Macaca mulatta: one gene and its partner. The main gene of each other region encodes a partner of the protein of the gene in region 2 in a complex. Links are inferred from orthologs where the notes say so. Each region holds a gene or a part of one and is shown on either strand. Other genes may lie near its edges.

The links. Proteins that work in one complex are often made in the same cells at the same time.
Region 1: the proteins of XKR8 (region 2) and BSG are in contact, whole or in part, in a cryo-EM structure (PDB 7DCE), measured with the Homo sapiens proteins. The link is inferred for Macaca mulatta from reciprocal best matches to the Homo sapiens genes XKR8 and BSG. Residues at the interface, in NP_060523.2 of Homo sapiens: His232, Leu236, Val239, Leu242, Trp243, Leu246, Gln247, Arg280, Gly283, Arg284, Ile287, Phe291, Ser294, Asp295, Leu298, Ala301, Thr302; in NP_001719.2 of Homo sapiens: Trp326, Pro327, Gly330, Ile331, Glu334, Val335, Leu338, Val339, Ile341, Ile342, Phe343, Tyr345, Glu346, Lys350.

What each region holds. Positions count from the first base shown.
Region 1 is NC_133424.1:1,222,424-1,227,602, reverse strand, and holds the end of BSG (basigin), read right to left. Parts: intron 5,044-5,179; coding exon 4,696-5,043; intron 3,342-4,695; coding exon 3,185-3,341; intron 2,468-3,184; coding exon 2,385-2,467; intron 2,226-2,384; coding exon 2,077-2,225; intron 1,973-2,076; coding exon 1,568-1,972; 3' UTR 1,398-1,567; downstream 1-1,397.
Region 2 is NC_133406.1:212,983,605-212,988,874, reverse strand, and holds the end of XKR8 (XK-related protein 8), read left to right. Parts: intron 1-1,759; coding exon 1,760-2,475; 3' UTR 2,476-3,353; downstream 3,354-5,270.

The DNA of each region.
Region 1 (5,179 bases), on a different chromosome or scaffold from region 2:
GGTGCCTTGAGGCCGTGACGGGGTTGCCCTCAGTGTGGGCAGGTGAGTCCTCTGTGGCCAAGAGGTCGGAGTCGTCCCTGAGGCTGAGTCAAACACAGACCTGTGGCCTTCATAAAATTAAACATAAAAGCGCAAAAATGGCGCAACCAGACAGCATTGGCTTCAGACAGGCAGGACGCGGGCCCCTCGTGTGACCTGTGACCTTCCGCAGCCAGTGGAGGAGGCTGCGCCGCCCACCCGCCGTGACTCAGACCCAGAGGTGGAAAGCCACAGGCGGGCCGCGGCGCCGCAGCTCCCGGGCTCTGAGAAATACTCACAAAGGAAAAAACCTAAGGAACAGAATCCTGAATGCAGAAAGAAAACCCTACTTTTTTTAAAAAGACGAAAGCGTATGATGGGAATCTATGGGGTGGGTTTTCTTTAAGAGGCGAGAACTTGGAATCTTGCAAGCACTGGGAGTGGACTCCAGCGGCGACGCAGACGCGGGGGCGGGGAGCGTCCTCGGGCCACCTGGGGACAGGGAGGGGCGCTCAGACTGGACCCACCTCCCAGCGGCCCACAGGCGGGACCCAGGAGCCCACTGCCCCGGCTCAGGAGGAGCTCCCGCCCGCCCGCCCGCCCGCCGCACCTGGCTAGGAGGAGTTCCTCTGTCGGACTTTCTTGCCTTTGTCGTTCAGGTGCTGCCCGGTGCTCTTCCTGGGGCATGAGGGGCCGGGTGAGAGGGTGTCTCCGACAAGTCACCCTCTCCAAGTCACCCCTGCCCACCCCGGCCCCCAGGACCCCAGAATACTGAAGCCGGGGGACTCTGCCTTTGTGTTTTAAAGGCCTGGGGCAGCAGGCAGCTCCTTGGGACCCCGAACCCCACAGCTGGGACTTACAGGGGAGCAGAGCCCGCGTCGTCATCTGAAGGAGGACCGCCACCATGAAAGAGAGGACGAGAGAACAGCCTGTCAGAGCTGGTCCCACTCAGGCCCCCGAGCAGGGACATCTGTGCTGCTGGCCCCGCCCTCAGTGACCTCCAGGTGGCTCAGGGCAGCGCATCAGCCCCGGCCGTGTGCATCTTCTGAGGCCGAATGGTGCGGGGAAAACCCGCCCTCCCCATCTGCGGTGTGTTCCCCACGGCGAGCTGTCCCCCCCCCCCAAGGTAAGCTGTCCCCACGGCCTCATGGGCCTCACTCCTGCCCCCCAGTGCTTTCCAAGAGCCGCCACGACAGGCCCACACAGGCCTCGCCCCAGAACACGCAGCCTGAGGAGCAGAAGAGCCAGGCGCTGCCGGAGCCGAGCACGGCTGACCTCAGGTTCCCGAGCCCGATCATGCAGAGGCCAGGACTCCCTGATACCATGGCCCTGGGCTCTTCGCAGCTGCCACGAGGTCGGGCGGAACAGCAAGGGCTGGCTTACCATGGAGGACACTGGCTTGCAGCCACGTGAGGGGGAGGGAAGGGTTGGGTGAGGCTGTGGGGTGAACTGCTGCCTCTTCCTCCTCCTGGGGTCTCGCTGCCCACTGAGTCGCAGCTGCCCAGGGACGGACCGGACGCTCCATCCCACACTGGCTTTCAGGGTGCTATCAACTCCCCGCCCGGGGCTCCTTGCTTCCGAGCTCTGGGTCAGCGGTGGGGCTGGCAGGGACTGACCAGGAGTGGCCCCGGACCACCCCAAGAGCGGGGCGTGTGGGCAGGAGGGCAGACGGCTCACCATCCAGGACGTCCTCGGGCTTCCGGCGCTTCTCATAGATGAAGATAATGGTGACCAGCACCAGCACCTCAGCCACGATGCCCAGGAAGGGCCAAAGGGCGGCCAGGTGGCTGCGCACGCGGAGGGTGACCACGGCCTGGTCGGTGCCCTCGGAGCTGGTGCCATTGCACGCGTACTTGCCGGGGTCGGCCTCCATGTTCAGGTTCTCGATGCGTAGCTCCGACCGGCCCTGCGAGGAACTCACGAAGAACCTGCCCTGGGAGCCGTTCACGATGACCTAGGGGGACCAAGGACAGGGGCTGAGCCCGGGACCCCGGACCTAGGCCCCTCCCCCGGTCCTGAGGGCTGAGCCCGGGACCCCTGGCTGCCCTGGCTTCTCACCTGGTCCCCAGAGTCAGTTATCTTGTACCAGACCCAGGTGGTGACGGGGGGCAGGGACTCTGACTTGCAGGCCAGCACGGCCGTCTCCCCCTCGCTGACGTGTTCTGACGACTTCACAGCCTTCACTCTGGGGGCACCTGACAGGAGGGCTGAGAGAGAGAGGAGCCTGGAACCACAGGGCTCCCCGCAGCGCGAGGGCTGTGCCCCTCCAGGGAGCAGGGCAGGGCTCCGGGATGTGCCGGGTGCTTCAGGCCAACCGCTTCCCCCGATAGTCGGCGGCGCCCGGCACCCCTGGCTGCAGGACTCACCGTCGAGCTGGATGTCGGCCCTGCCCGTGGGCTCGGGGAGGAAGACGCAGGAGTACTCTCCCCCGAGGTCGTCGGAGTCCACCCTGCAACCACAGCAGGCGGTGAGCTGGGCCCGGCTCTGCAGGACGCCTCCCAGGACCCAGGGCTCTCCAGGGGCCCAACCACAGCACAGTGAAAAAGTCAAACTGTCCCAGTCAAGTCTGAACCTCAACAAAACTCCTGGTGTCCCCATACGGCCCCAGGGACAGAGCCAGGCTGCCAAGACCCTCCAGGTGAGAGAACCAGCAAACAGGACCCTCTCCCTGACGACGAACCCGTCACCTCTGGTCCCTGCTCTGCACCCCACACCCTGGGACTGTCTTCCCAGTGAGCCTCAAAACAAAAGGCTCTGTGCTCCCAGGGCCGTCCCAGCTCCAGTGATGACAAGGCTCTGGCCATGACAGCGTCTGGGGGCTGAGCCGGGCAGGGCTCCGTGTGGCGCCCTCTTGTGTCAGGAGCACAGAGCCCGGGAGGCCTGCATGTGTGCCCGGGGCCTGGCAGTGTGGCGCCCTTTTGTGCCCGGGACCTGGCGAGGGAGCAACAGGGACGCCTGTCAGGGCTACTGGAGCCACCCGGCTCCCAAGGGCGCCCTCAGACCCCTCCCTGGAGTTTCCCTCTGGGGGTCCGAGTGGAGCTGGTCCCTAACTTCCGCCTGGATCGAGCCTGGCGACCAGTCTTTTGTTCTCACGGACCACAGGCCACTCGCGGCAAGAGAGCTGTGAGAAGGGGCACGTGGTCGCGTTCCGCGGTCCGGCACTCACTCGAAGTCCGTTTTCTGGCCGGGCAGCGTGTCCTCCTTCAGCACCGCGCCGCCTTTCAGCCAGCGGTGCCCGGTGACCTCTGTGGAGCTGTCGTTCAAGGAGCAGGTGAGGAGTGTCTTCGAGCCAATGTTTTCTACGGAAGTGGAGACTGTGCCGGCTGCGAGGCCCGGCGAGATGCGGTCAGCAGAGTGGAGGAGCACGGCCGCGCTGCCTGCCTGACCCCCAGGAACCTGTGGCTCCTCCCGGGAAGGGCTTGTTTTCACTCCCGAAAACACCGTGGCCCTGACACCCCGAAGACTGGAAGCCCAGGGGGAACTCTGGCCGCGCCTCCGGGAAGAGAAGAGCCACAAGCGCCTGCTGAGGAGGCCCCTTCGGGAAGGTGGCCTTCGCCGGCAGCTGGCGGGCCCTGGGCTAAGGCGCTGGCAACCGAGCGGCCCCGCCTGGTGATGTTCCTGCCCGGAGACACACGAGGCTGGGACCGGGATGTGGGGACAGACAAGGCACCACTCACGTCCCTGAGCCAGGACCGGGGCATCAGGCTCTTGGAGCAGCCCTAGCACAAACTGGAAATTCCTTTCTAAAAACGTAGCCGGCCGGCGCGGTGGCTCACGCCTGTAATCCCGGCCCAGCACTTGGGAGGCTGAGGTGGGCGGATCACAAGGTAGGGAGTTTAAGACCAGCCTGGCTAACATGGTGAAACCCCGTCTCTACTAAAAGTACAAAAAAATTAACCAAGCGTGTTGGCTCGTGCCTGTAATCACAGCTACTTGGGAGGCTGAAGCAGGAGAATCGCTTGAACCCAGGAGATGGAGGTTGCACTGAGCCGATACCGTGCCACTGCCCTCCACCTGGGCAACAGAGCAAGAATCCGTCTCCAGGAAAAAAAAAAAAAAAAAAAAAGCCACAGCACCCCCTGGCCAAGGCTCCCATGCCCTTCTCTAGGTGGCACCCAGGTGGCTCCACACCCCCCGACCCCAGGCTGACAGCACTCCAGCAGTGCTGGGAGCACCCGTTCTTCTGCCAGTCCCCAACCAGCAAATCTCTTGGTTCTTGGTCAGTTTACAATATTCCCACTAGGAACTGAAATGTGAAAATCCCTTAGAACGAGACGCTGCGAAGGACACAGAAGGTTCCGAGACCTGCAAGCCTGGGCTGAGCTCGGAGGCCCCTCAGGCTTGCAGCACGGACGCAAGGGAGGGAGCTGGGCAGGCGCCCAGGGGAGCAGAAAGGAACGGCGGAACAGACGGCACGAGGAGGGTCGAGGGGAGGACGAGGACCCACGTGCTGGAGGGCAGAGCCCTGCCCTCCCCAAGCCAGGCTGCCAGCACTGCTGGTCAAGCAGCGAGCCCACCCTCTTCAGATCCGGGCCCCTCTGTCCAGGTGGTGGGCCCATGGGGCACAGCGGGACGGAGAGGGGAGGAGGCGTCTGGGTTCTACGGAGCAGGAGCCGGGAGGCGAGCGGCACAGGAGGGAAAATGAAGGAGGTGGGGAGGGCGGTGCCCGCCACTCACGTTCCAGGACTAGCACGACTGCCTGGGCGCGGACCCACTTGACCCTGGGCGCCCGGGTCAGGTGGTTGCGGTCCGGGTCGTTGCTGGCCCGGCACTCATAGGTGCCCGTGTCCTCCTCTGCAAGCGTGTCGATGGAGATGGTGCTGGCCGCGTGCTGGTGGTAGGTGGCGTGGATGTGGACGCGGTCCAGCCGGGCGCCGTCCCAGAGCTGGGAGCAGGTGTCGTTGGGACCGTGCCCTTCAAACCACCACTGGATCTCGGGCACCGGGCTGCCCACGGCCTCGCAGTGCAGCTCCACACTGCCCCCCACCCACCTCTGCTGGGACAGCGGCGCCTGGACGAAGCCGGCTGCAGGGAGAGTGCGGGGGCCTTGTTAGTGCCCAGGGGACTTGGAAGGGCAGCCCCTGGGGAAGGCCTTGCCACAGGACTCCCGGCCAGGACGGGTGGGAAGCCACTTCCTTTCCGCGTGTGGGGGAGTGATGGG
Region 2 (5,270 bases):
GTGAGGAGCTTTGGGAGGGTTTTTGTCCATAAAAGGAAAGTGACTTGCCCATTTTCACAGACCCAGACAGTGGCCAAGCTGAATAGGGCCCCGACTCACATCCAATTCAGGGTCCCCTTTGCCTTCCTCCACCCCTGCCATAAATGCCACAGTCTCTCAAGGAAGCAGTCCTCACTCTGCCGTCACTCGCTGTGTGACCCGGAGAGCCTTCCTGTGCAAGATGGAGGTTGGATTTGATCTCCAAGGGCCCTTTCGTCTTGCTAGTCTGAGTCTATGTATTGATTGAAAAAACAATAATAGCGGTTGTCACAATCGAGGGCCAGCTATTAGCCGGGCCCTGTGGGAAGCACTTACAGTCATCATTGCTCAAGTTCACAGCAGCCCTGTAGGTCTGTGCTATCTTGATCTCCATTTTTAGAGAGGTGCAGAAAGGTGAGTGACTTGCCCTGGGTCACTGGGCACTCACTGGGCACGTGTTTTTGTCTGTTGAGGGTTGGGGGTGTCTAGAACCAGGGCCAAGTGCAGACAGTCTGCACTGCGAGTGTGGCAAGGGGTAAGGGGGAAAGACAGATTTTCCCTACTTTTTATTTAGCAAACATCTCTTCCGCTGCTGTTATGTGCCAGGTACTGGGCTGCTGGGGGATCCCAAGTGAGCAGAGTCTGTTTTCTACCCTGGAGGAGCTCAGAGATAAGGAAATAGATAATTACTGTGTGATGAGACTCCAGACAGAGGTGGGTGGCATGTGACAGGGATACCTGACACAGCTGAGTGGGTGGCGTGGGGCCAGGGTGGGTGACTCCAGGGGCTCTTCAAGCTGGGGCCTGTGGGGTAATGGAGGAGTAGGCCGGGGAAGTGGGGCGTGTGCTTCTGGCTACCGAACAGCCTGGGCAGAGCTTGTCAAGGTCACGGAAGGTGGCATGCTGGGCAAACTGGAAAAACATCAGCCCTGCTGAGACCTGGGCGAGGCTAATGGGCACAGATCTGTTTCCAGGCTAGGAGTGGGTTCTGGGCACCTAATAGATTCCCAGTAAACATCTGTCGAATGACTGCGGTGGACAGGAACAGGGGAGGAAGCAGTCGGGAGACGTGCTGGTGCCACTTCCGTCCCTCCCTGGAGGCCCTCGTGCCTCTGCTCCAGGACTGGCAGCCAGGAGGTGGGAAAGGACCCTAGGACCCCTGTTGTAAACTTCTGGATCTTGGAAAATCAAGACTAGGGGTCAGTCTGATGGCCTCTGGTCTTGGAGGAGAGGGGAGGGAAGTGGGGAGACTTTCTGTCCACACAGCAGGGACATCTCTCCTGGCCCTGAGGGCAGCTTTAGCCAGAGCCTGTGGCCACCCCAGGGGATTTTCTACTCCCTTTTTGAGACTAAGAAAGAGGGAATTGAGGCTGTTGATTTTCAGACACTAGAAAGGCTTGTGTTCTTCCCAGAAAGAAAGGGTTATGGGGCCCTGGAAGATGCCCAGGGTGCAGCCAAGGCCCAGGGGTGCTGAGTGCTGGGTGGGCCAGAAGTCACACCCTCTCACCTTTGACAAATACCACCTGCGCAGCAAAGCACTGTGGTGAGGGGCAGGCTCTATATTAGGAGTCAGAGCTTTGCTTTTGGTTATGGGAACTCACTGGCTCTTCTCCAGCTGCAGATTTGCTTTCAGCAAATGAGGGATTCTGATACCTACTCCAGGGTTGCTGGGAGGGGCCCCACGGTACCTGCGACCCCTGGGGAATGCCCAGGACTCATGATTCTGTCCTACTCTTTGCAGGGTTTGGCATCTGCACGTCCTTCCTGGGCATCTCGTGGGCACTGCTCGACTACCACCGGGCCTTGCGCACCTGCCTCCCCTCCAAGCCCCTCCTGGGCCTGGGTTCCTCCGTGATCTACTTCCTGTGGAACCTGCTGCTGCTGTGGCCCCGAGTCCTGGCTGTGGCCCTGTTCTCAGCCCTCTTCCCCAGCTATGTGGCCCTGCACTTCCTGGGCCTGTGGCTGGTACTGCTGCTCTGGGTCTGGCTTCAGGGCACAGACTTTATGCCGGACCCCAGCTCCGAGTGGCTGTACCGGGTGACGGTGGCCACCATCCTCTATTTCTCCTGGTTCAACGTGGCTGAGGGCCATACCCTAGGCCGGGCCACCATCCACTTCGCCTTCCTCCTGACTGACAGCATTCTCCTGGTGGTCACCTGGATGACTTATAGCTCCTGGCTGCCCAGCGGGATTCCCCTGCAGCTGTGGCTGCCTGTGGGCTGCGGCTGCTTCTTTCTGGGCCTGGCTCTGCGGCTTGTGTACTACCGCTGGCTGCACCCTAGCTGCTGCTGGAAGCCCGACCCTGACCAGGTAGACGGGGCCCGGAGTCTGCTTTCCCCAGAGGAGTATCAGCTGCCTCAGAACAGGCGCATGACACGGTTAGCACAGAACTTTTTCCCCAAGGCTAAGGATGAGGCTGCTTCGCCAGTGAAGGGAGAGGTGAATGGCGTCCTTTGAAGCAGGATCAGACCCAGCTGGCAGAGATGGAGAGTGACTCTGCTGGCAGAAGGCAGGTGAGGATAAGCTAATGATGCTGCTGTGGCCTCCATGCACTCAGCAATAATGGGACGCCTATGCTGGGCCGGGCACCAGGGATGGTGCTGAATGGGGCAGAGGCCTGCCTTAAAGGAGTTCACAGTGAACAAGATGAGAAAGGCTGGGCCCTGCAGGGTCAAGAGCCCCAATTATGTACAAGACGCTTTGGGAGGAAAGAAGACTACCTTTTCTTTTCCCCCTGCCATTGGTATAGCTGGTGCCCCAAAACTTCCACCTCCCTGGCCACTTCTAAAATGACTGGTATAGGTGCTGCCCCACCCCTTAGCTCCCCTATCCTGGGCTAGAAGGCCACAGGGGCTGTCCTCTAGAATTCTTCCTCCCCTCCCCCACACCATTCCTTCAATTCATGAAAGAAATCTTCGTGGAGAGCAGTTTATATGCCAGGAACATCATTCTGTCCTTGCAACCTGGAACAAGACCAGCTACCACCCCAGCTTCATCCCCTACTTGCACCAACCAGTCCTGGGTTAGATCTCAAATGCCAGAAGCCAGGGATGCCCAACTCTTGGTGGCCCCAGTTAGAACCTCTGAGATCTCAGTGAAGCTGGCCTGGCCTCTGCTCCTGCTCTCAAGGGGCTGCTTTTCAACCGAGAGCCTTGGGAGCCTGGTCTGAGCCTTGTACAACCACTGAGTATTTTTTATTCCTTAGCCAGTGTACCTCCTACCTCAGAGTCTGTGTGAGAGGAAGAGAATGTGTGTCCCTGTGGGTGTCCGCAAGTGTCAGACGTGTTGTTTTTAACAGTATTACTAGGTTATGATTAAAGCCTCATGAAATCCTCCAACCTAGTCTGTGTCATCGAATGAAATCTCTTATGGAGTTCAGAGCCTGAACTAGAAGAGGTCAGGGGCATAAAATCTACCTCTCAAAATTAGTCAGGGTCCATGAACAGAGAGGTCTGGCTTAGGTGGGGCTTCTCAACCTCGTGTTTGAAGTTTCAGGAGCTGGTGAGCCAGCATGGGGTTGACAGCTCAGCTGGAGATAAGAATCCAGATCTGGGCTTAGTGCATCCCTCTTCACCACCAGCTCTGCTGCTGGGCCCAGCAGGAGTGGCCACAAACACATTTAGGGCCAGGAAGTGAATATAGGAGCCTGGTGAAGAAAGGTCTTGCTGGGACCTCTGAGACGTTAAGTAATGAGGTGCCTTAGGGGATGCGAATGTGGTGGGTGATGGTGCTGGGGAAGTGGAACCTTTTGCTGTTCTAGGAGGTCTGTGGTTTGGAGAAACAAGGGACAGAAAAATCTCTTGAGATAGAGAAGAAAAGGTTCCAGTCACTGCTGTGATGGGATCCAGGATAGTCTCAGCTCTGTTACTATTCTGGTGGAGACACAAAAACCAGGATAAGTAAAACATTTAGTATATCAGATAGTGTTAAGTGCTGAAAGAAAAAGGGAAAGGGATAGGGAGAGAGAGTAGGTGTTTGTGTGTTGGGGGTGGGAATTACAACTTTATATAGAATGGCTGGGGAAGGCCTTCCTGCAAAACGGGTAAGCTGGTTAGCAGTGACTTGGGGGTGGCCTATAAATGTCATGAGAAGGAGCAGAACCTGGAGTCACTGGTAGCTTGAACCACTGTGACGGAAGGAATGATGCAAACAGAATTCCACAGGATGAAGAAGGACTTGTAACCACTCTGTTGGCCTGGAGCTAAAGATGACCCAGAGATGAAGGGTGGGAGCAGGAAGAGGATCTGGGAAGACGATGCTAGTGACTTTTACATACAAGCAATGGTTAGAGGCAGAAAGGATCCTGCAGATCATCCTGTCTAGTGATTTTCAGACTTTTGAATATCATGTACCTATAAAATGGCCAACATGGTTGAAACTTAATTTTAACAAAGAAAGGGCATTAAAGACTACCACCATTTGGCTGGGCATGGTGGCCCACACCTGTAATCCCAGTACTTTGGGAGGCCAAGGCGGGTGGATCACCTGAGGTTGGGAGATCGTGACCAGCCTGACCAACATGGAGAAACGCCATCTCTACTAAAAATACAAAATTAGCCAGGCGTGGTGGCGCATGCCTGTAATCCCAGCTACTCGGGAGGCTGAGGCAGGAGAATCGCCTGAACCCGGGAGGCAGAGGTTGCGGTCAGCCAACATCGTGGCATTGGACTCCAGTCTGCACAACAAAAGCAAAACTCCGTCTGAAAACAACAACAACAAAAAACTACCACCATTTATTTTCATCATCTCATAAAAGGACGTACCAATCTTAGAACAAAGGACCATTCTTCTAATTGAATACATGTAAACATACACACACACCTGAAATTGCAGGAAGAGATGGAGATGTTTATCTCCTCTGTGCTTGGAAATCAATACTTCTAATATTTGTACTTATAACTGAGTAAGGATATAGCAGCTAACGGGTTTGCTTCAACTAATGTGCACCTAATGAGGAAAACATTTAATTACTAAAATAGGCAACTTCCTCTTTTCTGGGGAATTTTTGGAGAAATACATCTTATAGTCTGGCATTTATGGTACTTGGAAGCTAGAACCCAATTCTGTTTTCCTTCATTGACTAAAAGGCAGAAGGCTTTGTGACTGTTTTCCAGACCAGAGGGATGCAGCCAGACCCAAATCAGAGAAATGAAATGAGAATAAGTAGTTGATGTGACATGAAATCAGGGCAAATCAAATGAGGTCTGATATCAGTTTGCTAGTTTTATCGCTTTTGTGGTTTAAGTGCAGCG